4 linked regions of the Rhinolophus ferrumequinum genome follow. The protein of the gene in region 2 purifies or fractionates together with the protein of the main gene of each other region. This does not show direct contact. Links are inferred from orthologs where the notes say so. Each region holds a gene or a part of one and is shown on either strand. Other genes may lie near its edges. The genes, in order: MMS22L, SSRP1, LEO1 and TRIM24.

Region 1 (8,067 bases), on a different chromosome or scaffold from region 2:
GCATTATGTCATTTAATTCTCACACTAATTCAATGAGGTGGGAACTATTACCCGATATGAGACCCACCATTAGCTAGGGTTGAAACCGGATCATCACAGAGCCATAATTCTAAACACAAAGTGCACCTAAACTGCCAGAAAGGAGAAGCAGCTGGCCTGCACTAAAACCCACTGCCCCTCATTTCCCTTCACAACCTTAACTACACCAAGTCCCCACAAGATCAGTAATTCATTAAGTGTCAAAAACAGACAGAAAGCAGAAGAGCAAGAAGACAGCACAAGGTCTGGTATAGTTCTCCATCCTACTCCCCATCCCCAAAGCAAGTTACTAACAGATGTTTAGCTTTAAATCAATTTTACCTACAGATTTGAAAAAATATAAATCTTACCTACAACAAACTTTCAGTGTCATACTTTTGTCTGAACACTAAATATACTTTATCCTGAACTTCTGTCCTAACACTGCCACCATGTTAGTATGATATCCCAATTATCAACGTAGACCCATGTGCGATTCACTATAATTTGCCTTTAAACACACAACTTACCAAAATCACAGCTGGCCTGTAATAAAGTTTCCAAGTTGTACAGTTGTTGCCTAATTTAAAAAATGTATGTGAGAGTTAATTTTAGAATAGTTTAAAGCATGTAAAATTACACAGATGTTTCCAAATCTATGAGCTTCAATGTGTCCCATTTGTGAGTGACATTTAATACTTCATGAATGTTTATTACAGGGTCAGCTTTAGGCAAGATAACTTTAAGAAAAGCTAAAATATGCCTTTGTCTGACTTGCCAAAAATATCTATTAAAAGCTGCATATACCTAAGAAATGGTATCAAATATCATAGATTTCACTATCAATTAGATACTGTTTAAATCTTCAAGAAGTTTAAGATACTTATATAAAATATCCTAGGTTAACAGTTACATAATGAAATTTAAGTTGTATCATAGTTACAGTAGGAGTTCAAAAAGGAACAATGTCCACTAGAGTTATCAGGCAAAGTTATATTTATAATGTTCCAACTTAATTCCTGAGAACTAATTCCTTAATTCCACTTTCCATTCTTCCTAGCTGCCTTTCGACTCCTTAAAGATTGACCCATATTCATGACCTGTGTCCTAGATAAAGACTCAACTCATCCTGTAATGTTCAGAATTAGAAAATCATTCACTTAGCCTGTTCTCTCAATAAAACATAGAACATGGCACAGATACAGTGACACATAGGGTCTTATGGGATGAGGGTGGGAGGAGAAATCCTTCCTGCACCTTTCCATTTTCATTTAAATGTAGCATATATACATTCTTAATGTATTTTTGGATATTTAAAAACAAAACGAAACATACCTGAATAAATGAAATAGCACTCTAGATGAATTCACTAATGCTGTTTCAGTAACCCACTGAATGCCAAATATTTCCACAGTATCCTCTTCAAAATTAGTTGGTAAAGGATCAAGATTCAAAATTAATCTGAAATGAGAAGTGATTTAATCTCACGAAAAGTATGCTAAATCTCATTACTATAGCATGTCATTTTTGACATTATATGAGCCTGTATTGTACATGACACGCTAGCAATGAGATTCTAAAGTCACAAACGATATACCCTGGTACCTTACATATTCAGGAACACTACAGCTAGACTGTATTAAAAAATTCAGTCTCAAGAGCAATGTAACTTATGTGAAAAATGCGTGGAGTATAGGGAACACACTTTCGCCTGTGTTTAATAGTGGTCTTCAGTTGTAGAATTTCATCCTTTGAGGAGGCATTTAATTTTTAAAACAGCTAAAAGTTATTGAACCATGTCTGGAGAATAACAATCAAAATGAGTAATCTCTTTTAAGGTCTCAAACAAGGTACAACTGTAAAACCAACAAAAATGATTTCCTTTCTGACTGAAATTGCCTCAGCAGGTATTCCCAAAATATTTCAATAACAGCACACAACTGCCCAAGGCAAAAATTTTGAAGAATAATATTCCTGTGAACTTATACAATCTGGTATTTATTAGAAAGCTTTTTTAAAATAAGTCTATTAAGACCTTTCTATATACAGATACATAGTATCAGAAGGAACTGGGGCAACAAAAAATGTGTATGTTTTACTTAAGGATTACTGAACAAATCAGTACCCACCTCCCTAATCCAAAGCTGAGGCAGCAGTGAGGTAAGAGAACATCTGGCAGAGCAAGAAAGTTGTTCTTCATATCCAAAAATCTTTCAGGTAAGCTCTAACCATGACAACAACAACAGAACTAACAGCTTGTATCCGTGTGATATACTAAGCCGATTTACAAACACATGGCTTGCACATCAAAGTTTAGTTAACTCTAATCTTAATTAAATAACATCCCTAACAAACTGATGGAAAATCTGATGAGAGAAAAACAAAGTCTCCGATTTTTCACTTACCGCTTAAGGGCTCCACTGGAAAGGTAGGACTCTCCAGAAAAATGTTTTCCTCCTCTGTTGTCAAAAGCACAAGAAAAGCAAGGGGGTTTGCACCATTCTGTCCCCAGCTCCAGTTCCAAGCTGTCGGTCAGGAAAGTCGACGCAGCGGAACAGATATCCATTGTTTACTTCATGTTCTGAAATGTCTGGGGTTCATTATAATTATCATTAAGGGCTCCAAAGAAGTCGTGATGAGATTCCTGGAGGTGGGGCGGGCCGAGAAATCAGAGGTGACTTCAGAAAGTTCCCAAAACGCTCCTCCCCAACACACACACACACACACACACACACACACATAAGTCAAATTCACAATAACTCTCTCCCACCGATCTCCCAAGATCAAGGTTGTCAGAACCTAAGCAAAACGCACCCGCGATTGGATGTAGCAGAAACTTAACATCCCATGTAGGTCGGACACTGCTGCACAGGGCAGGGTAAAGAGGAAAGAAATGTTTGCAGGACAGAGACTTTAACTCCAGAGATCGCCTGGCCCTGCGCCCTCCTCTGTGTTACTAAACTGCGCTGCCAGCTTCCCCAGTGTCGTGCAAATGCTCCCTTGCAGCCTCGGGGTGGGGAGCAGGACGGCGCCGCGCCAACCCCCATTTCTCCAGGCCCGGGAGCAAGTCTCACTAGGTCCGCACACGGCAGACACCCGCGTGGACCGGGCCAATGGCGAGGGGAGCCGGTGTCCTGTGCACCGGTGGCCGTCGTACCTACTCACACTGTCGGCCTCCGAGATCCGCCCGCCGCGATCCCGATCACAGCCCGGTGGTCCGTGGGATCTAAATCCCAAACAGGTGAAATTCCCGCCACTGTGCGCCCGCGCTCAAGAAGGGCGGGGCCACAGCGGAGCCCGCCCCCGGAGGTAAGCTCGCGAGGTCTCCGTGGGAATGGTCGGCACTCGTGAGTTCTCGCGAGAGTCCGTCAGCCAAGGCTTCAGTGCCGCATCGGTCCGCCTTTCCTTTCTTTTTTTGTGAGCTTTAATTGGTGCCTTTGGCCGGAAGGCGGGGCCTCGGTGGGCAACGAAAATGACGAAACTGAGGTGAGAGAAGCATAGGGACAAACGGGATTATCCTCTGTGGGCCTGAAAAAGGAGCTTTGATCGAGTCCGGGGCGGGTGTCTCATTCACACCGACAGCCGCGTCTTCGCCCTTTTCTTCCCTGGCTAGTGTCTGCAACTCTTTCGTTAAGAACGACGATGCCTGTTTATGGATTGTGAGCCAAGCAAGTGCAAAAATGAGGTGAATCCAGTGAATGGAAAACACTGATATGAAAACTGTTGCTCCACGTTTATGCAACACATCCAGGCAGGTTTAAGTCGTTTAAACCTGGACGCTTTTGTAAAAACATAGCCCATTCGCAGCATTTTTATCTTTTTAAGTGTTCTTGAAAGTCTCCTTAGAAGATTTTTAAGGCTGTCAGAGAGAACACATTTCAGCATCTCGCCGTCTTTAGATTCAAGAAAAACCTGAGAATTTCTCAATCAAATGTGCTGCTATAATTTGAGTATTTGCCCTTGCACGGTCCTCCACAATAGTTTGTCTTACGTTTAATTCCTATATAGGAAACTTAACTCTTTCCTCTGTTGAAACCACATTTTCTGACAAATGGGATGAGGTGGGGGGAAAACACAATGTGATCTGTATTCCGACTGCAACTTAGGGCTGCGAGGGTGAGTGCAATGTCTTTAATGCTCAGCAGATGTACCATGAGATCTCATGCTGCGTTGGGGACCACTGCAGCTGCTTTATGTTCCAGGGGGAGTCCAGCAGTAACACGTAGTGTCATCTACAACAATCCCTGGGAAATAGTGCATAGGTATAAGAATATTGGGCCCTGGCACTGACTTTTGGGGAACTTGGTCAGTATAGCCATTATTACTTCTTCCTCTAGTGAAAACATCAAAATAGACCCTTTTCCCTTTTTCAAGGGCCTGACGTTGAGTGATAAACTTGGTTGAACCAATGAGTGGAACAGGAAGAACCAAATAAGTTATCTGTAAGTAATTTAAACAAGTACTGTAACACGTTATAACAGTAACAGTTATAACAGTAGGTAAAAGATGGCATACTCAAGAGAAATGATTGAAGGGTGTTTAAATGAAAGGGCCATATACAAAGGTGTGGTTGACAGAATTACCTGAAAACAAAAAAAGGTGAACTAATCAGAGTCATTATCACTGTTAGGCCTAAAGGGTAAGGGAAAGAGGGCTTACCAGAGCCCAAGGAGACTTACTGCTGTAGGATACAGCCACCTACCTGATAACCACCTATGGTGGCTTCATGGAGGAACATACCCACTGCCTACCTGCAACCCAGCAGGGAGGAGCTGAAAAGACTAAGTATCCAAACCTCTTTCCCTCCACACAACAATGTCCTCCCAGTGTCTCTCAGTGGCCAAAACCAACCTAAAAACAGGGCAAGAATATAATCTATAAAATTCATTCTCCTGGGTTAGAGTCCAGGCTAACGAAGGATAGAGTGTGAATCTGAGAGAAGGGCCAATTATATCAAGAAGACAACGATACTAAATGTGTATGTATCAAGTTATAGAGCTTCAATACACATAACATGAAAAACACTATTATTTATAGGAAAAATACTCAAATTATTAACGGTAGGTAGAGACTTCGACATTCCTTTCTGTGATTGGTGGAACAAGTAGACAGGAAATTAGTACAGAAGACCTGAACAGCGCTACCGACCAGCGTGACCTAATTGACATTTATAGGTCACTCAACAATAGCAGAATACACTCTTTATTTTTTTTATTAGTTTCAGGTGCACAAGACAAAGTAATACTTAAACGTTTACCTTTTATATCTCTCACACTGTGTGAACCCCCCTCCCCCCATCCACTATCCCTCTGACTTCACACAGAGCCATTACATTTCCACTGTCTCTATTCCCAATGCTGTACTCCGCTTCATTTCTATGTATATATACATATACATACAAACTTGTAGTTGACATTCCTTATTGTTCAGCTTCAGCTTCAGGTGTACAGTGCAGTGATCAGGCATCTACATCATTCCTGAGGTGGTCTCCCTAATGAGACAAGTGTCCATCGGATACCGTACAAAATCTTTACAACATTATTGATTACATTCTGCAAATTAACTTTCAGAACCCCGTGGCCATCTTGTGGTTACTGACTGTTTTCTAATCCCCTCACCTTCCCTTTTATCCGCATCCCTCCTCCCATTAGCAACCCTCAGTTTTTCCTCTATGTCTCCAAACCTGTTTCTGATTAGTTCATTCACTTATTCTTTTCTTTAGATTCCACATATAAGTGAGATCATATGGTATTTGTCTTTCTCTGTCTGCCTTATTTCACTTAACATAATGTTCTCTAGGTCCATCCATGTTCTTGCAAAAGGTAAGATTTCTTTCTTCTTTATGGCTGCGTAATACTCCATTGTATAAATGTGCCATAGTTTCTTAATCCAGTCATCTACTGATGGGCATTTCAGTTGTTTCCATGTCTTGGCTATTGTGTATAGTGCTGCAATAAACATAGCAGTGCATAAAGTTTTTTGAATTAGAGTTTTGGATTTCTCCAGATAGATACCTAGGAGTGGAATTGCTGGATCACAAGGTAGTTCCATTTTCAGATTTTTGAGATACCTCTATACTGTTTTTCATAGTGGCTGCACCAATCTGCAATCCCACCAACAATGCACAAGGGTTCCCTTTTCTCCCCTCTTATTTCCCCAGCACTTGTTGCTTGTTGATTTATTGATGATAGCCATTTTGACTGGGGTGAGGTGGTATCTCATTGTGGTTTTTATTTGCATTTCTGTAATGATTAGTGAGTTTGAGCATTTTATCATATGTCTGTTTGCCATCTGTATGTCCTTTTTACAAAAATGTCTCTTCATGTCCTCTGCCCATTTTTTAATTGGGTTGTTTGTTTTTTTGGAGTTGAGTTGAGTGAGTTTTTTATAAATTTGTGATATTAACCCCTTATCAGACATAGCATTGGCAAATATCTTTTCCCATTCAGTAGGGTCCCTTTTTGTTTTATTGATGGTTTCCTTTGCTGTGAAAAAACTTTTTAGTTTGATGTAATCCCACATGTTTATTTTTTCTCTTACTTCCCTTGTGTGAGGGGATATATCAGTAAATATCTTACTCTGGGTAATGTCTGTGAAGTTTCTTTCTATATTTTCTTCTAGGAATTTTATGGTTTCAGATCTTACATTTAAGTCTTTAACCCATTTTGAATTTATTTTTGTATATGGTGTAAGGAGGGGGTCCAGCTTCATTTTTTTGCATGTGTCTGTTCAGGTTTCCCAGCACCATTTATTGAATAGACGGTCTTTACTCCACCGTATGTTCTTGCTTCCATTGTCGTAGATTAAATGGCCATATAGGCATGGATTTATTTCTGGACTCTCTATTCTCTTTCATTGATCTATGTGTCTGTTTTTATGCCTGTACCATGCTGTTTTGATTACTGTAGCCCTTGTAGTATAATTTGATGTCAGGTATTGTTTTACCTCCCACTTTGTTTTTATTTCTCAAGATTGCTGACGCTATCTGGGGTCTTTTGTGGTCCCATATAAATTTTAGGATTATATGTTCTATTTCTGTGAAAAACGTTGTTGGTACTTTGATAGGAACTGCATTGAATATGTATATTGCCTTAGGCAGTATGGACATTTTAACTATATTAATTCTTCCTATCCATGAACATGGTATGTGTTTCCATCTATTTGTATCTTCTTTCATTTCTTTCTTCAGTGTCTTATAATTTTCTGAGTACAGATCTTTTACTTTTTTGGTTAAATTTATTCCCAGGTATTTTATAGTCTTTGGAGCAATTGTAAATGGGATTGTTTTTTTAATTTCTCCTTCTGATGTTTTATTATTGGTATATAGAAATGCAACTGATTTCTGAATATGAATTTTGTATCCTGCTACTTTACTAAATTCATCTATCAGCTCTAATAGTTTCTTAGTGGAGTCTTTAGGGTTCTCTATATATAGTATCATGTCATCTGCATATAATGACAATTTTCCTTCCTCCTTACCGATTTGGATGCCTTTTATTTATTTTTCTTGTCTGATTGCTGTGGCTAGAACTTCCAGCACTATGTTGAATAGAAGTGGAGAAAGTGGGCAAACTTGCCTTGTTCCTGATCTTAAGGGGAATGGTTTTAGCTTTTCCCCATTGAGTATGATGTTAGCTGTGAGTTTATATATGGCCTTTATTATGTTGAGATGTGATCCCTCTATTCCCACTTTCTTAAGGGTTTTTATCATAAATAGCTGCTGGATTTTATCAAATGCTTTTTCTGCATCTATTGATACGATGATGTGATTTTTATTTTTCATTTTGTTAATGTGGTGTATCACATTAATTGATTTGTGGATGTTGAACCACCTTTGCATACCAGGGATGAATCCCACTTGATCATGGTGTATGACTTTTTTTAATGTATTGCTGAATTCTGTTCGCTAATATTTTGTTGAGGATTTTTGCATCTATGATCATTAGAGATATCAGCCTGTAGTTTTCTTTTTTTGTGGTGTCTTTGTCTGATTTTGGGATCAGGGTGATAGTGGCTTTGTAAAAAGTGTTTGGGAGCCTTCCCTCCTTC
Region 2 (8,262 bases):
TCACTCATTCATGTTGAGAGTCAAGGAGATGTCCTCATCCTTGGAGAAGAGTAGGATCAGGAAGTGGTAACGGGTCTGGCCCTGCTTGATGGGCGGATCCAGGCTGATCTGGAAGGAAGAGCCGACGAGGTTCAACATCAATCAATGGTCCAGAACTTGCTGATTAACTGAACCCCAGTGAGATCTAGCTACTAAAGACTCGGGCAAAAACCAGGACAATCCACCGCCGGTGGTCTCTGCTCACCACAAAGAACATCTGGCGCTGGTCCTTGTGGGGCAGCAAAAAGAGACGCAGCACCGTGGTGTAGGGTATCTTGTAGTCGAAGGTCTTGCCGTGCAGGTGCAGAAAGGTGGGGTAGATTCGAATGTCGTATCGGCCTCGGGGAGTCAAACACTGCAGCTCCCGGAAGATACAGATGGCGTCTCCAGTGGCCTGGATCACATCCGCCTTAGACAACACATTCTGCGCAAAGGCCTGCAAAAGCACATACTGGTCATCCAGTAGCAGGGATTCTGCTCCTGGGCCAGCTAAGGCCTGCTCAATACCATCTGCTCCCAAGGTGACCAGGGGACACCTCACCTCAACGGGGTCCACGCCATCCTCCTGGGTGGGAGGCACGTAGAAGCGCACCTCCATGAGAGAGACCTCTGCGTCATCATTCTGGTGGAACTCCAATGTCACCTCGTTTTTGCCTGTGGTGCACTGGGACACGTTGCTGAGGGGTATCTCAAAGACCGGCTGGTCGCCAATGTCAAAGGAAAGCAGCTGCCCTGTAGGGAAAGGGCTATCAGCCACCAGCTCCTCCCCTCGAGTCTGCAGAAGCCAAATTCCCAGCAGGGCACTGGGCTTACTTTGCTCAAACTGTACCCCCAAGACCAGGCACAGTGCCTGAAACACTGTTGGTCCTCAATAAATACATGATGAATTACAGACTGACAGGAAGTCAGAGACAGTGACAGAAAGAGAGCAAAACAAGTTAAAGGCTGAAACCCTTCATCCTATCTTGTCCCCAAACTTCAATCCTTGCCCAGGACTCACCACCAAACTTCACGGTTCCCCAGTTCCAGCCCTTCACACATAGGTCCTTTTCCATTAGCTCAAGGCGATAGTGAGTTTTGAAGAAATCAGAGAGTTTCTCAAACTCCTGCAAGTGGAGTGGAGAGAGTAGTCCCAGTAAACCCCAGTGCTTTTAACACAAACTTGAACATTCGGGATCATCTATGTCGGAGAAATTGCCCTGATATACCTTTTATCAGAAATCCACGTTGACTTAGAAGCTCAGCTATAAAATTGTTTAAAAGGATGTTGAAAAAGGTTGTTTCTGGGGACTGGCTCTCAGGCTGGGGGGAGAATGAAATACGGAACTGACAATTCCTCACAATGCTATCTGACTTTATAGAGGTGTTGCTTTAATGCAAGTGGAAATTAACGTGAAGTAGTCTTTAACTCAAGCAGTTCGAAATGGGAAAACAACACCCAAACTAAAGCATCAAGCTAAGACGCTGAACCTGGACAAAGGCAACAAGCAGAAACCATGAAAAAAATCAAAATGGTAGCAAATCTTCTGGAGTCAAGACACTAAGACTCCCCCAAGACTCTGCACCCAAAACTGGACACGGACTGCTGAATGACCTCGATGGCCCTGCTCTGTGGAGCCCAAACTAGCAAATACATGGTTATCAGAGGAAGGAGCCCCAACTCTCTCTACATTAAAATTAAACAAGACGACGCCATAAAAGGGGGGTTCATGGCAACAGGGCACCTCACCGATTCTCGGAAGCCGTCATACTTGTAGACATGGCCGTTCTTTGTAAGCAGTTTAAGTCCATGGCCCAGAGCCACACGGCGCCAGATGCCCTCCGTCAACTCCCCCGCCTGGATGTTGTCCACTTTGCCCGTCTTACTGTTCTTGAAGATGATGCCCTGACGGCTCAACCTCAGCCGGCCATCGTTCTGTTGGAAAAATCGACCCAAATGCACGGGGACGGTGCACAGTGCATACTGGGTACAGTCCCACCCAACACCTAGGCTGGCAGGAACAACAGCTGAAGTGGTGAGGGCCAGCAAGAAGGGACAAGTAGCCAGAAAGTCTGGATTCTAATCCGGGCTCTGGCATCCAGAACCCCTGCAGGTCCTCAGGTTGGGGATGCGGGATGGAGCAGCAGGTCCGGTCCCTTCCAACTCTGAGATCCTGTAACTCTTGTACTCTCTCACTATTGCCTTTTGTTAGGGAAACACGAGGTACGCATTATACTGACTCCTTTTTCAAAGTAGCTCTTGTTGACTGACAAAAAGTCCACTCCCTTCCCTTCTCCACCTGTAGTGGAAGCCCAAGCCCTTCTTACCATGGAGCCTTTCACCTCCTGATAGATATCATTGAATTCCAGTGTTTCTGCCATGCTGTCCTTTCCCTTTTGGGGAAAGCTGGGCCCCAACTCCTGGATGGGTGTGCAGATCCTCAGCAAGTTGGGGATCTGAATTCAAGAGGAAAACAGACGAGCGTGAAAGACAGCACTTCACTCTGCCCCCAGATGGGGCCAGGTAGCAACCGTGGCTGTGCCTGGGATGTCTCAGGATCTCCTCTGCCTAGGAGCCTACAGGAGGGCTCCGCAGAGCTCGAGGGGCCAGGCCCAGCCCCGGCTAGAGAACCAGGCCTGGAGTAGCGCTTACACCCTAACCAGACACGGGCTCTGGACGCTCCACCCGGCGCCATGGCAACGAGCAGCGGTATCCCAGGGCCTGCCTGAAGTCCGCACCTCACCCGTGCTCCAACCCAGCTCAGAGTGCAGGGTTTCCCTCCCAGAGCTCCCACCGCGCCGCGGCCCCAGGCCCACGGTTCCCCCTCCCCCTAAAATGGATTCGCCCGCTACCCGCAGATTCGAACGCGGAACGGTCCATCTCGAGCGTCCCGGGGGGAAGCGGGACCCGCGCCCTCCAGAGGCCCGGGGACGGTGACCACCCACCTCTAAAGCAGTAGCCTCGTGACGGCCCAGGTGCGGGCTGTGGGCGCGCTAGGGGATGCGGGGGAAGGGGGGTAGGGACACAGGGGGTAGGGGAACACTGGGGAACCTTTTCCCGCGTGCGCGCCCCAGAGTCCCGCCACCGGAAGCTGTGCTCGGATCATAGAGAGGATGAGATGGCTAGAGAGGTGCGAGCTCGGCCCACCTACGAGGCGGTCACATAGAGCGTCGGCGGCCCTGGAGGACCTGAGGTCGGCAGGGCGGCGAGGAAGTCCCACCCGCGTGGAATCTGGCTAGAAAATGGGTACGCGTAGGGCTTTTTAAATATTACAGACACTTCTTCAGTGAAGGACTAGGTTCTAAAGAGAAATTGTGTAGTTTTCTTTTATCAGACTTTCCACAGATGTGTGTGTATATGTGTTGGATGGATGTGGGCCCTTCTCTCCTGCCCAATAGTGGTTTCTGTAGAGTAGGAATTTGTGAGACAAGAAGAAAAATACATATTTAAAGAGTTGAGAGAAATGACCCCGCCCACTGGCTGCGAAGAGAATGCGTGTGTTGGTGTCATTGTGACTGTCCTGCTCTCCCCTGTCAGTCACATGAGATTGGATCCTTTTGGAAATGAGTTCACTGTCTGCACCCAAAAAACGTCACATGTCTAACTGCAATGTATGGTTGCCTGGAAGAGGCTGGTAAACGGAGGTATCAAGTTCAAGTGCTGGTGTCAGAGCCAGAGCTGACCTGAAACCACATCAATCTGGGATTGCCGGAGGGAGAAATGCCCTCCTCACATAGTTCTAGGATGCATCTTGCAAAATCAAAGGTGGCCAGACCCAGGAGACGAGTTTGGGTTCGCCAACTCCAACCTCCTTTTGCAGGTGGGAAAACTGAGGCCCAAAGAGGAGTTAACCAGCGTCTCATAAATTGGCAACAAATCTGGAGATTAGAACCCACATGTCCTTGCCCCAGTCCAGTTCTCTTCTGTCATAATCACAGCAACTCTACCTTCAGAACAATTGAGCGTATGTGTCCTGTGCGAAAACATTAGGACAGAAAACTTAAACTCAAGATTTCTCTGAAAATCTGACTTAAACCAGTTACACCAGCTTGCTGACTGAATCCTGGTATAACAGACAGCGGGAGTGCACTGTTGCTCCCTGAACTCATGGCTGTCACCTCTGGGTAATGGCTACTGCACCACTATCTAGCAACATAAATTCATCTGGATTCAATAAATATGTATTGAGCGCCAACAGAGTTCTAGGATCTAAGGATATTTAAGTGAACAAGATGGAAACAGCACCAGCCTTCCAGGAGCATATAATCTAACAAATGATTCAGATGAGTAAGCTGACAGTAAAACAAAAACACAACAAAAAGAAATAAATAACCCAATGTGATAATACTACAGATAGAGTTTCAGCCTCTGCCAATTTCAGTTAGAAATATGAGCTGTGACGCTCCTCGCCCCCTCCCAAGAGACCACCTGAAATATTTAAGACCACGTCCCCCTGCCCCATGCTGTTGGAGGCAACTTGGGAAGGGAGGGGATGGCTGCAGACTTGAGTGGCTTTAGGAAGACCGGAATGAAAGGGGTACTCAGAGCAGGCAGGCTATTAGGTGGCTGGGGGATGGGGCATTGCAAGGGGCTTTAAGGAGAGCATAAAGCAGCTGGTGAGCTGGGATGAAGATGCAGCATAAGAGAACGGAACAGAACAGAAACGATAGACAGAGTGCAGATAAAACATGAGTCCCAGAGGGCCCTAGCCAGCTGGATCCCAGGCAATCAGGAGCCTGGGATTGGAGACCCCACCCCTGCCATGACATCACAGGGGAGTAGGGTGGAGACGAACAAAAAGGGGTCCCCCCCCACCGCCCTGGCCTTGGACTCTTGGCAGCCCAGAGTGTCAAGAGCAGAGAGAGCCTGGGCACTGGACTAGGGTTGCCTAACTTAAAGGAACAGGCTCCCCATTCCTCAAGCCCCTCTACGCCGCCCCTCCAGGCGTTGATCCCTATCTCCCTGTCTGAGGGCTGCTCCCTCCTGAGACTGCCATTGGGTCCCTTCTGAGTGGCCCCCGAACACTCTTTCAACATGAACTGCATGTCAGATTTCTTTACCTACGAGACCACCAAGTCGGTGGTTGTGAAGAGCTGGACCATTGGGATCATCAACCGAGCAGTTCAGCTTCTGATCATCTCCTACTTTGTGGGGTGAGTCTGGCCCCCTCTCCCCTTAGTGTGGCTGTCCAGATTCCCAAGCTTCTCCTCTCTCTGGGGGAAGTCTCTTTTGTGGAGCCATGTCCTTCGGACTGGCCTCTGTGGCCCCATCGGGGATCTGGTCCTGAGATGAGTTCTTTTTCACAGTAAACCCTCCGGAGTTGAAGGGGCTTCCCGAGACACGCAGTGCGAGGGCACTACCCTCCACCAGGAGAGGTCCCAGGTGACCGTCTCCCCTCTCCCTTTTCTCATCTCTCCCCCCCAACCAGAGAACAGACAGACCCCCAAACACACATCTTCCCATTCATCTCAGTCAACCCTTTGGGGTCTCAAAAAGACAAGGGATTCCAGGAATGGGGATAGAAAGGCACTGAAACAAGGGAGCCAGTGACAGGTTGATTGCGGGGTGTCAGGAGGGCCAGCTGGAGGAGGGAAGGAGAGAACTGGATCCGCTTTAGAATGAGGGTCCCCTCCTGGCATGGAGAGATGGGGAGAGAACATGAAAAGGGGAGAAGCCGGGCTTTTGGAGGGTAGGACAAAGCGGGAAGACCTGCCCCTTGGGAGGGAGGGAGAACCACGGGCACCAATAACACTCGAGGGGAGAGCTGTTGAAGAGAAAAGTGGCTTTTCTGAACATAGTGTAGCGTCCTTCCTCAAGAAGCCAGAAACACTCCCCTTTGTCAGAAAACGTAAATTCTCTATTTTTACCTGACTTTGTACTATATAACCCAGCTGGGAGGTGCCTAAGAGCCAGCAAGGTCTGAACACCCCTGTGGCCCCCACCTCTTGAAGGCACCCACACACACACACTCACACTCACACCCATGCACAAAGGGCCATGGAACACACAATGGTGGGGGAAAACACACAGGTTCTGTCCTTCTCATGGTCCCTCACACACACGGGCATCAGGAAATACAGGCCAAAACCTCAAGGGTTTTCTTTCCCGGTGTACAGGTCTCCAGTCTCGTGCTGTTCCTTGAGACAATGGGTCTGTGTGAGAGAGACAGCAAGCCACTGATGGTTGTCATGAGTTAATTCAAGCAAGCCAAAGGAAATATCCTGTGTGCGTACGGGTGGGAGCTGCGTGTGGGGGGCCTCCTTGCCTGAAGGTCACAGTAGTGTGTGAGGGTGTGCGTGGAAATGTGGCTAGACGTGAATTAAGGGATTTTTGCTCCGCGGGCTTAGCGAGAGCCAGTAAGCTTCAGTTATGCGTGTATTGTAGACAAAGCTGTACATCCTGTACTCCTCGTGGGGACATTGGAGAAGGGACTCATGCTTCGGGGTAGGGTTAAATGGCCTTGAAGTTCTCTTCCAAGTTTGAGGTTTTGTGAGATATGATGTTTGCAAACGTTTCCTGCCCGCACCTCCGGAGATTGGCTCAGAGTTGGTTCTTAAAGCTTCCACGTTCACGGGCATGTGTGATGCACTGATGGTTTATATGCAGCCACAGGATGGTGCGTTGGTCCAGGTGAGTGCAAATGCTGCCTCAGCACATTGCCAGCCTGGCCTGACTTCGTTGGGTCCAGGCAGGAGACTGATGGAGGTGGGTAGAGGCACGGGCTCCTGGACCAGCCTCCTCAGCACCCCACTGCCCTTGTCTCTCCCGCATCAGGATGCAGTCTGGTGCTCTGATCCTCGGTGCTGGAGCCGGGCCTGCTGGAGGAAGCACGAGAGGCTCTTTGGCATCTTGATATTCATCCCCATCCATCTCCCAGCCTGACAGCTCCCCACGGGGCAGCTCCTTCCAGTTATATCGCGCCCTCTGCGGCCCAGCCCCCTGGTGTGAGCCCCATTTCTGCACACGCACGTGAGCCCATGCACCATTAGGACTTCCGGAATCCATTGTCGCTAATTTAGCAGAAATGTATTGAGCATCTCTTCATGCCAGATATTGTGCACTGAGGATAGAACGGTGGGCAAAAGCAGACAGGGTCCTCACCCTCATGGAGCAGATCATGCCAGAGATGGACATTGATCAAATAATTTCTGCCAACAAATGTAAAATCTCAACTGTGGCTCAGGGTGCTAGGAGAGACTGCTAGTATGGAGGTGTTTGACCTGATCAGAGAACCGAGGGAAGGTTTTCTGGAGATGTGGCACTCAAGCCAGAATCCGAAGGACGAGCAGGAGCAACCCAGGTGAAAAAAGGGTAGGAAGAGCATTCAAGGCAGAGTAACCCAGCTCTGCAAAGGGAAAGGGCCTGGCTAATGGGGAGAAGAAAAGAAGGTCTTTATGGCTGGAGCAGACAGAGCAAAGGAGACGGTAGTGCAAGATGAGGGCAGGATTGCAGACGAAGGTCAGACCTCAGACACCTCAGATCTTTCCTTTTTTACAGAAGAGTGAATGGGAGGCTACTAAAGGGTTTTAGTGTGTGTGTGAGAGAGAGAGAGAGAGAGAGAAAGAGAGAGAGAGAGAGAGAGAGAATCGATTGAGACAGACATGATGAGATCTGAGTTGGGAAGATCGCTGTGGCTGATACACAAAGGGGTTGGAATAGGTAGGAGTGGAGGCAGGAAAATGTGTTAAAAGGTGGTGCAATCAGATGGAGAGAGATGACTGTGGCTTGGACTCAATAGAATGTGAAAGGATTTTTAATGCTGTGATGTTGATGCTTAACTAATACTTGAATCTCTTCCATAGTGTGCCTGTCGGGTAGACCAGATGCATAATCTTACCTAGGACATGTGTGCTCACAGCAACACACCACCTAATTGTCTCCACACATGCTCTCACTACCGCCTCTAGCCTCAGGTGTCTCTGTTTGACACCATTTCATCCCTGGTTTCCTTTACCTAGGGTTTCCAGGCGGGAATTCCCGCCCGTTCTCAGGAATTTTTTTTTTCTCTTTCCCGTTCCCGAATCCCGAGATATAAACTGTTTTCTGTTCTCCACGATGAATTGTTTCCACAAAGTGACGGCCGATACTACCAACCACCTGGGTTCAAGGAGCCGATTTTCCCTATTTCCCGACCAACTTTTCTTGGGATTTGGGAACAGGAAAGCAAAAAATATTCCTGAGAATGGGTGGGAATTCCCGCCTAGAAACCCTACCTTTACCCATCCAGGTTCCCAGAGAGGCCA
Region 3 (8,347 bases), on a different chromosome or scaffold from region 2:
AACCTTTAGCTAGAATGACCAAGAAAAAGAGAAAAGACTCAAATTACTGAAATCAGGAATGAAAATGGAGACATTACTCTGGTCTTACAGAAATAATAAGGATTAAAAGAGATTACTATGAACAGCTGTATGCCAACAAATTAGATAATTTAGATGAAATGCATTGATTCCTAGAAACACACAAACCATCAAAACTGACTAAAGATGAAATAGAAAATCTGAATACACTTATAACAAAGTAGAATTTAAATCAGTAATCAGAAAGTTTCCAACAAAAACACAGCCCAGGACCAGATGGCTTCACTGGTGAATCATATAAAATATTTACAGAATTAATGCCTATCCTTCTTAAGCTTTTCCAAAAACTTGAAGCAGAGGAAACACTTCCAAACTCATTCTATGAAGCCAGCATTACCCTGATACCAAAGCCAAACACGTCACCAAAAAAGAAAACTACAGACCAATATCTTTTATGAATACATATGCAAAAATACTAAACAAAATACTAGCAAACCAAATCCAGCAGCATATTAAAAAGATGTACACCATACCAAGTGGGTGTTAACATAGGAATACAACAGTGGTTCAACCTATAAAAGTCGAAGTGAAACCATATTAATAAAAGAAAAAAAGTGATTATCTTAGTTGATGCAGGAAAGGCATTTGACAAAATCCAACACCCTTTCATGATAAACCCACTCAAAAAACAGAATAGAAGGGAATTTCCTCAACCTGCTAAAGGGCATCTGTGAAAAACCCACAGCTAACATCATATGTAAGTAATGGTGAATGCTTTTCTCCCTAAGAACAGGAACAAGGCAAGGATGTCCACTCACCACTTCTATTCACATTGGATAGAAAGTTCTAGCCAGGGCACTTAGGCAAGAAAAAGAAATAAAAGGCATCCAAATTGAAAAGGAAGAGGTAAAACTATCTCTATTTGCAGATAACATGATCTTACGCGTAGGAAATCCTAAAGAATCCACTAAAAAACTATTAGCGTTAACACATTCAGCAAAGATACAAGATTAACACACAAAGATCAGTTGTACATTAGCAACAAACAATCCAAAAACGAAATTAAGAAAACAGTTACACTTGCAATAGTATCCAAAAGAATAAAACACTTAAAAATAAATTTAGGAGGTGCAGGATTTATGCAATAAAAACTACAAAACATTGCTGAAAGAAATTAAAGACGACCTGGCACATTTATATGTGAAAGAAACATGCTGGGCCTAGGTAGGAATTCTACTCATTGTTATGCCAAGAAATTTGTCAGGTGCAGTTATTTTCCACAACTCTCTTAGCACAGGGAGAAAATGAAGTATGCTAGGCATAACAGGAATTCCCTGTCACATCCATACTACCTTCGTGATCAACAGCAACCTTCAAGGACAGATTTGGTAGTAAATCTGATTGAGTCCTGTTATCTAATGGTAAGATGAAAGAAGCAACAGACTTACAAGAGAAAGTAAAGTGTGAAGCCAAGAGAAGCAGATACCTCCAAATATCACTTCCCCATACACTGAGTTTGCAATGGGAAAGCACTGCAGGATACATGTTACTAAACTATTGTTTCTACTGCTCCAATTTATTTATTAAATATGCATTAAACATCAGTGTAAGCTGGTGGAGAAAGGGAGGGGGCAGAGGCAATCTCTTCATCATTATATCCCCAACACCTAGCAAAGTAGCTGGAACATGATAGGGGATCAATAACTACTTATTGAATGAATGAACAACTTCATAGAAGTGAGTCATGGGAGGTTCACATGGTGGAATTATGCCTTGAAGGACAAATGGGATATGGACAAGTAAAATTGAGGGGGAAATGAAAACATTAGCAAAGGTAGTGGAACAAGAGGTAGCATATAGGGCTGTATTTCCTGACTAGAATCTCCTGGACACCCATCCTGCTAAAGCCCTCAGACTAGACTTCCACCTGGTGCTCCTTCCACTACACTAAAAAATATGAGTAAATTGGAGTTGGAGAGAAAAAGAACAACTACAACAATGCACTTTGCTAAGGCAAAAAGTAGATCAAGTTACTTTGAGACTGGAGGGTTGCAAGAATTCTGAACTTGGTCTTAGACCCCTTCTCACTTCAAATAACTCCTATTCATATTTCAAACTCAAATAGCCACAGTCCTGGTACCAGAAATACTTCCATGAACCATTCATTCATTTTCATTCATTTCATCAACAAATCCTTCATCTCTCCTCTTCAAACACAGACACTATACGTCCCGCAATCTAATACCAGTTGAGTTTGGTGAATTCTAGTTTACCAGGTAAATTCTAATTTACCAGGTAAATTCTAGTTTCTGCACAGGCTCTCAGAAGGCATTCTCTCCGGTGCGTAATGCCTATGTATCCCGGTTTCCTTCCTAGTTTCCTTTCCCAGGTATCTCAAACGCCCCATAACCCCATGGTGTGGTCTCATTGAAGCGGGCATTCTGAGCTCATCTGTAAATTCGTCCACCCACTCCCCATATTCCTGAACACCTAATTTCCATTCACTCACAAACAGCCCTTACTATGCGCTAGCCTGTGCAAGCCAGGAGAGAGCAGGACCCCAAGGTTCCGTCCTGGGCTGTGCAGGTTCGCCCGCGCCTCCACCCCTGCCCCGCGCCCCCTTCGCTCTACACGCTCCCAGGCATTGCATGCTCCACCGACACCAAGAATCCCCAGGCTCACGCTCAGCGTTTGTCCCTCTACTTCCGCCCGCAGGAGGAGGCTGGCACCGCCGGGAGTGCAGGGGGCGCTGGGGCAGGAAAGGAGGAAGCACCACCAGCCCGCACCGTCCGAGCGTTCGCAGACCCGGAACCTGACTGCGGTCGGGTTCCGGCCGCAGAAGGCCCTCCGCGACCCGCTCCGCCGAAGCCCAGTCGATCCCACCTTTATGCTCAGCATCGCTGTCGGCGTCGCTCCCGAAGAGGTCCTCCATATCCGCCATTCTCGCTTACGTCCGCCTCTGCCTTGGCTGGGGACTGCTCCGCGACCGTCTTTACGGCACGAAACCAACGAAACGCGACAGTGTCGCAAAGATTCTCTAAAAGGCTGCTTTCCTCCTGTGACCTAATTTTCGCGAGCTCCACGAATCTATATGCTCGTCGATGCTTAGGCGTTCACATGGTGACAAACCCCGCCCTTTGTATCTGTTCTCATTGGCGAGGATTTTCACCCGGAGCCGGGCCTTCGGGGTCTGAGTGGATGGAGTGGGTGGTGCTTGACACTCTCCCCAGAGGGTCTTGGACCGTGTTAAACCTGCCCGGAGTCGGGCCTGATGTCCTTTGTTTGATATTGACGCGCGGTTCTTAAGTTGTTGAGGACTCCAAAGTGCTTTTGTTTATGTTGGTAATATATGTTGATATTTACCACATTCATAATTAAATCAGAAATTTAAAAAAATTTAAACATAATAAACAGGTTAACAAATACCATTTTAAAACTTTAAATCACTGGATTTTTGTAAGAGAAAAAAATTAGAAGAGTGGAATTATTTTACAGTTTTCAAAATGTCTTTAATGTCTGACTTAAAAGAAGACAGCTGAATTCTCATGCCTGCTTTCACATTCATTCAGTCTGTTTTGGTTGACGCTTGTGAAGAAAATCTGGCCTCATAACAAATATTTACATAATTAGGAAAGGGAGGACCTTACAGAGTCCCCTCCGGAAAGGGGGGGGGGGAGTTGTCTTTCTCAGACAACTCTTTGACCAATGCAGCTTTAGTGCAGTGTATCTCAAGCATCATAAATAAATTTTCCATCTTAACCTAGTACACAATGTAAAAATTTGAAATAAATAGTTCACAAAACAATACTTCCTTCACTACTAAAATGCAGTCTAAGATTTCCTATTCTCTATTTTATTCTATTTCAGCTTCTTAGTTTTATGTTGAATGCTGACAGGCAGTGCACCCACTAAAATGATTTCATGATTTACTAATGGATTGCAACCTGCAGCTAGAACACTACTTAAAGGGTTTCATTGACTTGTTTATTTTGCCTAGAAATTGATTTTAGAGGATATGTGGCTACAATTATACATAGTACAACCAGACAGTAATAGAGTTTTCATAATAGGTTAGTGCGAGGTAAACACTCTTGCTTTACAGGAGCTCAAAGAAATGAAGCGATTGTATACATTAAAGAACTAGGTCTCTTTTAGAAAGCTTTCATTTCAGTTTTTAAAAATGTACATTCTAGGGCGGCCAGATGGCTCAGTTGGTTAGAGCGTGAGCTCTGAACAACAGGGTTGCCAGTTGGATTCCCACATGGGCCAATGAGCTGTGCCCTCCACAGCTAAATTGAAGACAATGAGCTGCCGCTGAGCTGCCGAAGGGGGGGCCGGATGGCTCAGTTGTTTAGAGCCTGATCTCTTAACAAGGAGGTTGCGGGTTCAATTCCCGCATGGGATGGTGGGCTGCAGCCCCTTTAACTAAAGATTGAAAATGGCAACCGGACTTGGAGCTGAGCTGCGACTTCCACAACTGGATTGAAGGACAACTACTTGGGCCCTATAGAAATACACTGTACCCCGATATTCCCCAGTAAAATAAAATATGTACATCCTCCCACACCAAGACACATCATAATTAAAATGCCAAAGGTTAGAAACAAAGAGAATCTTAAAGGTAGCAAGAGAAAAGCAGTTGAGTTACCTATAGTAGAGCTCCCATAAGACTGTCAGCTGATTTCTCAACAGAAACTTTGCAGGCCTGAAGGGACTGGCAAGAAATACTCAGTGGTGAAAAGCGGGGACATAGAACTAAGATTACTCTATCCAGAAAACCTATCATTTAGAATTGTAGGAGAAACAAGTACTTCCCAGACACAAAAAAAAGCTGAAGGAGTTCATCAACACCAAAGTATTACAAGAAATGTTAAAGGGACTTCTTTAAAAAGAAGAAGAAAGAAGATTAAACAAAAAAAAGAATAATAAAGTGGCAATAATTATATATCTATCAACAATTCCTTTAAATGGATTAAATGCTCCAATCAAAAAACATAGGATGGGTGCATGGATAAGAAAACAAGACCCTTACATATGCTGCCTACAAGAGAGTCACTTCAGATTGAAAGACACAAACAGGCTAAAAGTAAAGGGAAAAAGATATTTCGTGAAAATGGAAACAAACAAACAAAGAGCTGGGGTAGCAATACTTATACCAGACAAAATAGACTTTAAAACAAAGGCTACAGGAAGAGACAAAGAAGGACCCAGTAATCTCACTTCTGGGTATTTATCCAAAGAAACCCAAAACACTACTTCGAAGGGAAATGTGCATTCGTATGTTCATCACAGCATTATTTACAATAGCCAAGATATGGAGGCAACCTGGGTGTCCGTCAGTGAATGAATGGATAAAGAAGAGGTGGTACATATTTACAATGGATGAAATCTTGCTATCTGCAACAACATGGATGGACCTAGGGGTATTGTTCTGAATGGAGAAAGACAGAGAAAGACAAATGCCATGTGATTTCACTTATATGTGGAATCTAAAGAAGAAAATAAACTAACAACAGAGACAAACTCATAGATACAAAGAGCATTTTGATGGTTACCAGATGGGAGGGGGTTGGAAGGATAGGTGAAAAGGGGAAGGGATTAAGAAGTACAAATTGGTTGTTACAAAGTAGTCATGGGGATGTGTAGTATAGGATAAAGAATATAGTCAATAATATTGTAGTAACAATGTATGGTGTCAGATGGGTACTAGATTTATTGGGGTGATCACTTCATAATTTATATCAATGTCTAATACTGTATTGTACATCCGAAACTGATATTGTATGTCAGTTGTAATTGAAAAATTAAAAGGTTAACTAAAAGTGTGCATCCTGTGTTAGGTTATTACCAAATTAGGCCAATATGAGGGTTTTGATCTTGGACAAGCAACATGGATTTTGAGTTTGGAGATTATGAGATATATTTTTGTTGCCAATAAGAGTGCCTGACATGGTCCAAATGGGCAAAAGGTTAGCTAACTAGGTATGTTATCAGTTCCAGAGCTGTTGTGATAAAATGGATGATATAAGAGTAGGTAGGTGGGATTACTTTAAAACTTTCTGGAATACTGGGAAAACAAGTATTCTATTTGTAATTCAGTTTCATTTTCATTTAGAATACTATCCTTGAAAAGGACATTGATTAAATCTTAATAAATTGAGTGAAGCATGCTGAATCACCATGCCCATATTCATGACTAGCAGAATTAGTGTGTTTATCCCATCAGAATAATGCAAAACAAATAACTTCTGGTTCTTTGATTTTCACTTTTGTTTTTACTATACTGTATGCCGATCATTGCTCTTTTATTCATTGTCTTTCTTTAAATATAATGCAATCAATTAGATTTCAGCTAAATCAATCACAATCATTTTCCAGTACTGCTTGCCTAAGGTTACACCCGGATCACTTTCATTGAATGTTAAAATAATTTTCATTTATCCTATTGGATAAGAAGTTCATCTTACTGGGTTTGTGTTTAACTAACTTAACTCTGGATGTTAAGATAATCTCTTGATTTGCTCCCAGGGATGAAAAATTTCATCTATTATGTGTGTGATTCACTAAAACAACTCCAGAGTAACTTTACCTTGATTCCCAGTTTTGGAGGTTGTCTCTTTTTCCCATGTTCTGACTTCATTAGGTGAAGTGTGATCCTCAGACACCACAATACCCCCAGTCAAAGAATAGGGATTCAACTAGGTTGATGATGCTAGGTAGAAGTTAGAAAATGTAGGAGGAGGCGGGGTGGGAGGGGGTCCATAGTGACTATAGAAAAAGCTCATAAGTAGCTTTGATTAACTGCCTCATATTTGTTTCTACAACAACAGATAACAATGCCGTGGTCTGGAGCAAGATGAGGATCTGAGTCAACAGACCTCCACCCATCTTAGCAGGTCACACCCTCCCATGGAAGAGCATGCACCATTTTTCCCACCAAATCAATATGTAACTCCCTCACCTCACCCGGAAAACTATAAGTCCTTGGGACAAGGGCTCTCTCTGTCTCTGACCCTCGAGCTCTCTAGCCCTCACTCTCTTCCCCTTCCTCCCCTTTCTCTCTCTTTCTCCCTCTCTCTCCCTGTCCCCCACCTTGGCTAGGCCCATTCTCTTCCCTAAGAGTGTATCACTAATCAACCCTGCCTGCATATTAATCAGCTTGCTGACCTTTGATTCTTCACTGTAGGCAAGAAGAACCAAGACTCTCGTAAAAGGTAGCAAAAATACCTTTAAATTTTATAAATTATATGCTCACATCAAGTTGCAAAACCGGAATACGAGGTGTGATCAAAAGATAAGGTGAATGTTTAAATTAAAAAAATTTATTACAGTAAAAGACACATTGCCATTAATCCCCATCAAAATACTCCCCCTTGCTTCGAACACCTCCCTTCGTTCTTGCCGTTTTCTGAAGCAGTTCTGGAAGTCCTCTTCCATGAGTGTCTTTACTTCATCCTCCATTATGACAAAAGGTTCATGTCACACATCACTTCTGGTACAGCAATTTCTGTCAAATAAAAACATTATGGTGTGTCCTCATGCACCTTATTCACTGGATCTGGCACCCAAACTAGACCACGCTGAGAGACCAAATGGAGACTCCCCAAAACTACATAAAGAGAGATGCCTGACCAACCCTCAGCTGCAATAGTCCTCTTAAGCTTCCAGCTTCAGTGTGCGTGCAACCTCGGTGAGAGACACCAGACCACAGGTGCCCAGGCTGGCCCTTTCCTCAATTCCTGTCACACAGAAACCAGGAGACAGTAAGGGGGTGTTGTGGCATAATGCCTCTAAGTTTTGAGGTGGTTTGTTATACAGCAATAGCAGTTGGAAGAATTACTCAAAAATTTTACAATCTATGAATTGTAGTCCCTAAAATGAGGGACTAAGCCAAGAAAGGGAAAAACTTAAAAGGCAGGAAATCCAAGATTGAAAAGAGGCAAAAGAAATTTCCAGAATGATAGTTGGGCCTGCAGGCCAAGAGGGATGCTGGTCCAGATTGGAGCAAGAGGACAGAAGGTTCCAAGAGAAAGCAGACTAAGAAGGAAATGAATAGAATACCTGCTACATTTGCTAATCCAATAAGGATAAGTGCTTTCTCCATGCCAGAAACTAATCTAGGCACTGAAGATACAACAGAAACAAAATAGGTCAAGTGTCTGTTCTCAGAAACTTGCATTTTGCTGGAGGATGAGAAACAATAAAGGAAGGAATATACTGTACTAATAAACCTATAAATATATATACTTTCAGTTTTGTATATTTATATCTGATGTGTTTGAATATTTTGAATGGATATTTTCTGTAATTAGTATGTAAAAAATTTGCA
Region 4 (7,396 bases), on a different chromosome or scaffold from region 2:
TTGTTTTGTTGGTCTATAGAATGGGCCCTGTGTGGGTTTTTTAATTACCTGCCAAGATCTAAATTTCTAGAGAAATTTTACACAAAAATCCAGACTTCAGACTTCTCATAATAAAAGTTAAAAAAAAAAAAAAGATCCTTCAACACTGGCCCTGCACTCACATGAGAATCCGTGAGAGCCTAGTTTGCCCCCGGCCCCCACTCCCCATTATTTTAACCCCAGGCTCCTAGTTCTCCATCTCAATTACCAGCTTAGCCCCTGTAGGTATTGTAGTTTGATCCATGATGCCTGTACCCACAAGCTCATTAGGAGAATGAGGAACAGATGATCAAATGAACCCTATCTATTTAGTTCTAAAATGTATTGTCTAAACTTTTGTTTCGGCTGGTATTAAAATAAGTTTGCAGGGAGAGAGGGGAGAAAATATCCCAGTCAATAAGACTCAGGAAAATATTTTCAATTTATTGCAAATGACCCTAACTTTTTTGAGGTGTATGTGCAAGTATCATTTGTTAATGCTTTTTCTTAGTACACAAAAACATTTATCTTCCAATTTAAATGCTTTCCTTGAACTCTTGCTTACAATACAAATACAAAGATAAAAAAGAGTTGGGGACTGGGATTATATAGAACATTTTGAGAAATCTGGAATTACAAACTTGTCTCAGAATTGAGGATCAGAGATTTTATTATCCAAATTCTCATTCCTTCAGGTCTGCATGTCATGGCCAGGCACACAATATATCTTAATTCTAGAATTATGCAAAATTCAGATCCTAATTGGCTAGTTGCCTGTTTAACCATTTAAAATAGCAATATAAGAAACCTTAAAATGTGTCTAAAAATTAAGAACTAAGATGTTTCACTTGTACTAACTTTCCAACAGGTGGGCCACATCTGAGCAAACTATTAGGGTGGTGCAAAAGTAATTACGGTTTTTGCAATTATTTTTTTAACCTTTTAAACCAATTACTTTTGCACCAAACTAATAGTATGAAGGATCTGAGATTTTATCCTCCCTACCACAAGCTAACAAAGTAGCTTACCACGGATGCTAGTAGAAAACACGAGACTCAGGAGTCACAGACAAAGGGCATTTTATTACTTACAATAATAGCGTAAGCCAAAGCACCAACATTTTTGCACTGGTTCCCAGAGTCCCAGCTCTTACCAGGCAAGGTGAAGAGAGGCAGTTGACACCTGCACAGGCAATGGGTTGTTACATGAGAGGAAACCTAAGCTTAGGGAACCCCAATCTTTTATGATGAGCAGTAAGCATGCCTGCCTTTTACTCCAGAAGGAGACATTTATTTGTATTCCACTGGACCATATGCATGCCTGCTCTTTGCTCTGATGGAAGACACTCTTCTAAGACTGTTCCTTACACAAACATCCCTTAAAAATACAAACAAAGGGCAGTAACCACTGGCAGGACCTGCAGAAACAGAGAAAGACCCATGGAAAATTGTCTCCCTCCACTAGATACTGTTTCTAGCATATAATTAAATGAGGAGTCTAACACGACCATTTATTTAAAGCATTAATTAATTTCACATACCCTTTGACTTAGCTCAATTATTTAATTAGCATTTTATCTCAAATCTACTAGTCCCTCTAAAAAGGAAGCAAATATTAGAAATGAATAATCCCACCTTTTCCAGTTACTTTGTATTTTTAAGAGAAGGAGCTCAAATATTTGCAATACTAAAATTTAAAAACCTCAAGTATTCTACAAGAAAAAGAATTACTGTGCTTACTTTGACTAACTTTAAATGTTTCAAACCTGTTAACGTTACCAATGGGAACTACCTGTCAAAAGTCTTGTTATACAGAAACAAACACCACAAAGAGAACAGTAACTTCAACATTTCCAGCTGCTGTCTACAAAATACAAGAAAAATCCTGCATCCCAAATCACGTTGTTCTATTTCTCTTTACCTTTTACCGTTTCAAAAATAAAATCTTCGAAAGAGAAAGACAACAAAACACCGCCTCTTAGTTCCTTTGTCCACAGCAGAGGGGAAGAGAACTGGGTTCTTAGGAAGGTAAAGAACACGAAACATACAAGACAGAAAATAGACGGCAACTGATCTGTAATCAGTCATCAAAGAAAGTCACCATCACTTCATCTTCATCCCTGCCTCCCCACTCCAGCTCAGAAAAACGTGCGTGTAGACGAGATGATTAGGATCGTATGCACCTGGACAAAGCTTTGGGGGAGGCAGAGGGTAGCCGTTAACTAGATGCAGCTGGCAAAGAACCCGAGATACAGACTACAGCAAACTCCGACAGAGGTTTTCAAAAGTGCGGGTCGCGTGGGCCACCCAACCCTGGAGGGGAATGCCGAGGGGCAGGAGCAGCAGCGCGGACAAGTCCACGGCGCCCGTGGAAGTTGCTCGCGGGGCGCGCGGCACGCCGCAGAGCGAGCGCGGGCCCTCCATGTCACCGCCGCCAACACAGACCCTCCTTCTCGCCCCTCCCCCGTCGCGCACCCCTGGCGGCGGCGACATGACAGCGAGTCGCGCAGCACAAGGGCGCCCGTCTCCCCGACGCCCTCCCTGGGCTCCCCCGCGCCCGCCTCTCACCTTGGGTAGCGAACCGCGAGGAGCCGCTGGCCGGCGAGCCGGGGCCAGGGACTGGCGGTGGGGTCTCGGCCGAGCCCAACATGGGCGCGGGCAGCATGAGGTAGCGCTGGGGAGCGGGCAGGCAGCGCTGGCAGAAGGAGTGCAAGCAGGGCAGCAGCTTGGGCGCCCGGCTCTGGATATTCTGGTGGCACACGGCGCAAGTGTCCAACAGGTTGAGCCGGGCCGCCTCGCCTCCGCGCTCCGAGTCCGGGCCCTGCCGACTCTCGGCCTCGTTCTCCCCGCTCGGCGTCGCCGAGGGCCCCCCGGCGGCCGCCGCCGAAGCCGCCACGGCCGCCGTCGCTGCCTTCTCCACAGCCACCTCCATTGTCCTGCCCCCGCCGCCGCCGAAGGGGGAGCGCGGTCTCCGCCCGCTGCCGCCCCCGACGACCTCCTCCTCCTTCTCCTCCTCCTTCTCCTCGTCGTCACAGGCCGCTCGGGTGACCCGTGGGAGAGGGAGGGCGAGAGGGCCGGGCCGAGGAAGCCTCCTCAGGCCCCGGGGATCCGCCTCCCGGGTGGCGCGGCCGGAAGAAGGGGATCAGTCAGCAGGGACCGTTCCTCGCACCGCGGAGGACGTGCTCCGTCCGCTTCGCCAACCGCCGCGGCGATCTTCGAATCCGCCCAGCCCGCCCTCGCCTCCCCGCTTTTCTCTTGAGCCCCCGACCCACCTCCGGATCCGCCCCCGCCCTCGCCCTCTCTCCCAGCAACTGAGACGACGGCAGGGAGCTCGCCGCCCAATAGCCGCCGCGCCAGGCCAGGGGGCGGGGCCAGCCGATGCCCGCGAGGCTCCGACGGTCCCGGCGGGAGGCTGGGAGGTGGGAGGGCTCTTGTGAAGCCCCGCCCCTCAAAATCCTGGAACCGCGGCCTCTGATTGGGCCTTTGTGTGCGTGTAGCTCCTCTGAAAATATTGAGGGTTCATTTGTTAACGACCGACCATCTAATTCGGTCCTCCTGTGTTGGCTCCTCCTACGGGGCGGGGCTCTACCGTGTATGCGCGTTAATTAAGTAACTGCTTCGAAAACTCTCGTTTTACTACTGGAGACCGGGGTCCTGTAGAAGGCATAAATATGGTGGGAGGGTCAAAGGATGGTGAAGTAGAGATAGTGAAGAGCAAACAAGGAAAGAATTGTGAAAATGTGAAAAAACGATACCGTAGAGGCAGCATGGATTTTGCCACCTGAAGGTACTCATCTCTATGATGAATGATGGAGCATGAAGAATAAGGGGGAAGGTTCTATTGCAAGTCAGAAATTTTGTAAGGATTTCGCCAATGAAAATTGATTTTTAAAGTCAATGATTTGCTTTTTAAGTGAATAAAAGGGTTCATTTTCCAAGGACTTAATATATAAAAATTGTTTGCAAATGTCTTTATTGCACAAATATGGCATCATTCCAAAAATAAAAATAAAACTCAATATTTATGTCCAAATAATTCATAACTTCAATATTTTTGTTTTCATTCTCCAACCCCCCCCACACACACAGTTACATTAGAAGTTACACATATTTTCAAAAAATGGCCAAACTTTTAAGGAGCTTGAAGTATAGAAACGGGTTAGGAGAAACAAAGCTTTTGTATACACAAGACTGTAAAAAAATTGTATGGAAGTGCCATTCTTTAAGTACAAATGAAGTGATGCTGGACCTTTGAGGGAGTGGTATGGGATCAGAAAAACTTAAAGTTGAAAAGATCTTGAAAGAAAAAATGGCATGGTGGGAGGCGGGGGCAAACTCTAGGCTTCCTAGCCCTCCCACAAGACCTCAGTACCTTCCCAAATTATTCCTCTCCTACCAGACTCTTTACCAGACAGGTCATAAAATCCATTTTCCAAAAGCCTTCAGAGCAAAGTTCTCCTTAATGATATTCAAGGGCTATTCATTTTGTATGGTACTAGTTTCTTAGACTTTAGTTTGCATGAAATTCACCAAGCAAGTTTGCTTAAGAGCTGGTTCTTTGGGCCCATCCCATATTCAATTTTAGTAGCATCTCATAATTGTGATCTGGGTGCTCCAAGACTACCCTTAAAGAAACAGAGACCTATCCGAAGTTTCTTACCTATCCCTCCATGATTTCATCCCTATACATCTCTCAATCTGAAGTTCCCAGTATTCTCATGCTTTAATTTTAATGCCTCCTGGTTTGCATGTGCTTTTCCCTTTGTTTTAGAATGCCCTTCCCCCAAAATTCAGACTTACCTATTCTCCCTCTAAACCATCCCAGACAAAGTTCATCACTTCTTCTCCAGTATTCATTCTCCACCCTATCTTTTTCTAGCTGCACTTTGAAAATCTTCATATACTATGAAAGCAAATTCTGTATTACAAATTAATGATTTTAATATGTTAATAATTCATTACAGAGGTAGTATACAGGATTCACACAGACTAAAGACAAGTGCTCTTTATTCCCGCAGATGACAGTAGTGGATAAGGAAAGAATAAGAGGTGAACTGGGGAGGCTTGTTTTGAGAGATTTCCATGTAATTTGATACAGCCCACTAGTTTAGTTTCTTAGTCATCATGGATAATCAGTTTTAGAGAAAATTATCTTCCATATTCTTAGACTTCCTAGTCTCAGGTAATTAAAACAATTGTATGTTTTACTTTGTTCAAATACATATGGCTTCTGTTTTTTTTTTAAGTCTAGAAAACGAATTTATTATTTTAGATTATTTTACTTGTGTGATTTTCTTATCTAGATATTGTCATTCTCCCAAGTGTGTTGTAAAACTTTCGCAGAGATCTACCAATAGATTATTCTTCCTTAATTACAGCTCTCAATATATTCCCCTCTCTTGTTCCATAATTTCTATGGCTCCCCACTGCATCCAAGTCTCTCTACATTTCATCCCTATCTGATCTTCCTGTCTGGATCATCACTGTTTTCCATACCCATTCTAAGCTTCAGCCTTTTGGATGGTTTGCCTTTTTCTAAACTTCATCACCATCACCTCTACAACCACCTCTGAGAGCAGAGATAAGAGTTGACCATACTGGAAGAGAAGGAGAACAAGAGCATTCGAGTCTAGTGAGAATTCCTCATGCCCACCACTCAAAAGGTAGTAATGGATAGAAATTTTAGAACTTCCAGGGGAGTTTAACGAAACCATTTTTGAGTAGACCTCTCAGAGGCTGTGATGCACGTCTAGCAAGAAGGGTTTGAGATAACTCCTTCACCCAGTTTCCTATGGCTTTACAGGAACAAGGAAAAGATCCCTGTAGCTTTAGTAGTAGCAGAAAGGCCTGGATGATTTGAGGCTTCATTGTTAGGAAAAGAAGGATGCAGTGTGCAGGGACCAAAGACTGTCTCATTATCTCAATAGCTTCCACAGAGATGCCAGCAGTCAAGAACCAATGCAGGTAAGGCACATTCTGTGTATGCCACCATGAACCAAGGATGCCCAAGAATCCAGTGTCTTTCTGTCGCGAGCACCTGAAAGGGCAATTGCCATATTTCAGTCTCTTCCTAAAAGTCAAGGGGACATGAACCCCTCAGCAGGGCCCTATGTCCCTGCATGGTACTCATGACGTAAGTGGGGAACAAAGTCTTGACACACAGGTTCAGACAGAGTGAGTAACACAGCTTTATTTGGGAGCCAATGTCCCTCCAGAGGCCAATGCTCTGGCAAGCACCATAGTTTATACAAGACAGAATAGAATTTAATAACGAACCAAGTCACAGAGTCAATCGAGATGGAGAAGGTCCCTGGTCTGGGAGAGACGACTGGGCCCACGACAGGTCTGAGTCAAGTTGGTCTTGTTTGCAAAGAAAGAACTTCGGAGAGTTCCGGTATCGCAGCTTGCACCTCGCAGAGGGTCTTAGCCGGAGCGCCCAGTTGGGCTTCTCCTGGCATTGCTCTGGAGTTCTGCCTTTATCCTTTCCCTTGGACTTATTTACTTCTTAGGTGATAACCAGAAGTTGTTTGCCAGGAGTTGTTTACCTCTTCAGTAATAACGAGAAGTTGTTTTGGTGAACGCTTTTATCACTCGATTTTGTGATACTCAGTTTCACACAAAAACATGTTTTTCACTTCATTCTTATCAGGCTCACACATGTGCGGCCATATTCCTACTAGGAAGCAACTTGTTTTGCAAACCTCAATCCAACAACAACCTCGTTGATAGTATATTTTATATGCTCTGTACACTTTCCCGCCTATGCCATGATACTATTTAACCCTTGGATCTGCAAATTGGGTCTAGAGAGAAGGGAGAATGAATGCTGTATTGATTGATTTAAAACCTGAAATGATGACCAAAACAAAAAAACAAAAATGGAAACAAAACCTAAAGTAATTAAGAATATGACTAGATGAAGCTTTCTGCTATCAGGAAGATAAAAACTTCAGGGTTTTTTTGTTTCGTTTTTTTCAATTTTTTTTTTAATTAATGTTAATAGCCTACATACTATTTTGGGGTACACTAAAGGATTAACTCAGTGAGCTTGGATTACTCAAACCCTGCACATTCCAAAGAAAGAACTGGCCCTTGACTAACTGATAGTCTCTGAACATTTATCCTACCTGATAAGAGAGTTTTGGGACGTTTGAGGCTTTGGGCCACACTCCATCATTTGACCAGGTGGTTTATGCTAATGAAGGCATGTCTTATGGCTAACACCAGTTTTTTGTATACCTGAGTCTCTTGCCATGCAGTGTCATTTTTATCTCTGGGGAACTGAAGACTGAGTAGCTAAGGTCGATCCCATGGGTGCTGTATACCTATGTGACCGACCATCAATTTAAGTCCTGAATGCCAAGGCTTGGATGACTTTC

The links.
Region 1: the proteins of SSRP1 (region 2) and MMS22L purify together in Homo sapiens (affinity purification with mass spectrometry; 3 studies listed by BioGRID and IntAct, counting the BioPlex papers as one, with this or other methods). This does not show direct contact. The link is inferred for Rhinolophus ferrumequinum from reciprocal best matches to the Homo sapiens genes SSRP1 and MMS22L.
Region 3: the proteins of SSRP1 (region 2) and LEO1 fractionate together in Homo sapiens (co-fractionation; 3 studies listed by BioGRID and IntAct, with this or other methods). This does not show direct contact. The link is inferred for Rhinolophus ferrumequinum from reciprocal best matches to the Homo sapiens genes SSRP1 and LEO1.
Region 4: the proteins of SSRP1 (region 2) and TRIM24 purify together in Homo sapiens (affinity purification with mass spectrometry; 3 studies listed by BioGRID and IntAct, with this or other methods). This does not show direct contact. The link is inferred for Rhinolophus ferrumequinum from reciprocal best matches to the Homo sapiens genes SSRP1 and TRIM24.

What each region holds. Positions count from the first base shown.
Region 1 is NC_046286.1:52,352,254-52,360,320, forward strand, and holds the start of MMS22L (protein MMS22-like), read right to left. Parts: upstream 3,301-8,067; 5' UTR 3,176-3,300; intron 2,970-3,175; exon of another isoform or gene 2,833-2,969; intron 2,663-2,832; 5' UTR 2,585-2,662; coding exon 2,424-2,584; intron 1,480-2,423; coding exon 1,354-1,479; intron 599-1,353; coding exon 549-598; intron 1-548. UniProt on the Homo sapiens protein: Component of the MMS22L-TONSL complex, a complex that promotes homologous recombination-mediated repair of double-strand breaks (DSBs) at stalled or collapsed replication forks.
Region 2 is NC_046294.1:11,753,433-11,761,694, reverse strand, and holds the start of SSRP1 (FACT complex subunit SSRP1), read right to left. Parts: upstream 3,105-8,262; 5' UTR 2,965-3,104; intron 2,476-2,964; 5' UTR 2,401-2,475; coding exon 2,347-2,400; intron 1,955-2,346; coding exon 1,769-1,954; intron 1,146-1,768; coding exon 1,040-1,145; intron 772-1,039; coding exon 581-771; intron 476-580; coding exon 245-475; intron 109-244; coding exon 5-108; intron 1-4. Other genes in the region: P2RX3 (P2X purinoceptor 3), read left to right, coding at 5,054-5,172. UniProt on the Homo sapiens protein: Component of the FACT complex, a general chromatin factor that acts to reorganize nucleosomes. The FACT complex is involved in multiple processes that require DNA as a template such as mRNA elongation, DNA replication and DNA repair.
Region 3 is NC_046289.1:55,980,567-55,988,913, reverse strand, and holds the start of LEO1 (RNA polymerase-associated protein LEO1), read right to left. Parts: upstream 3,099-8,347; 5' UTR 2,960-3,098; coding exon 2,902-2,959; intron 1-2,901. UniProt on the Homo sapiens protein: Component of the PAF1 complex (PAF1C) which has multiple functions during transcription by RNA polymerase II and is implicated in regulation of development and maintenance of embryonic stem cell pluripotency.
Region 4 is NC_046309.1:10,568,070-10,575,465, forward strand, and holds the start of TRIM24 (transcription intermediary factor 1-alpha), read right to left. Parts: upstream 3,239-7,396; 5' UTR 2,950-3,238; coding exon 2,586-2,949; intron 1-2,585. UniProt on the Homo sapiens protein: Transcriptional coactivator that interacts with numerous nuclear receptors and coactivators and modulates the transcription of target genes.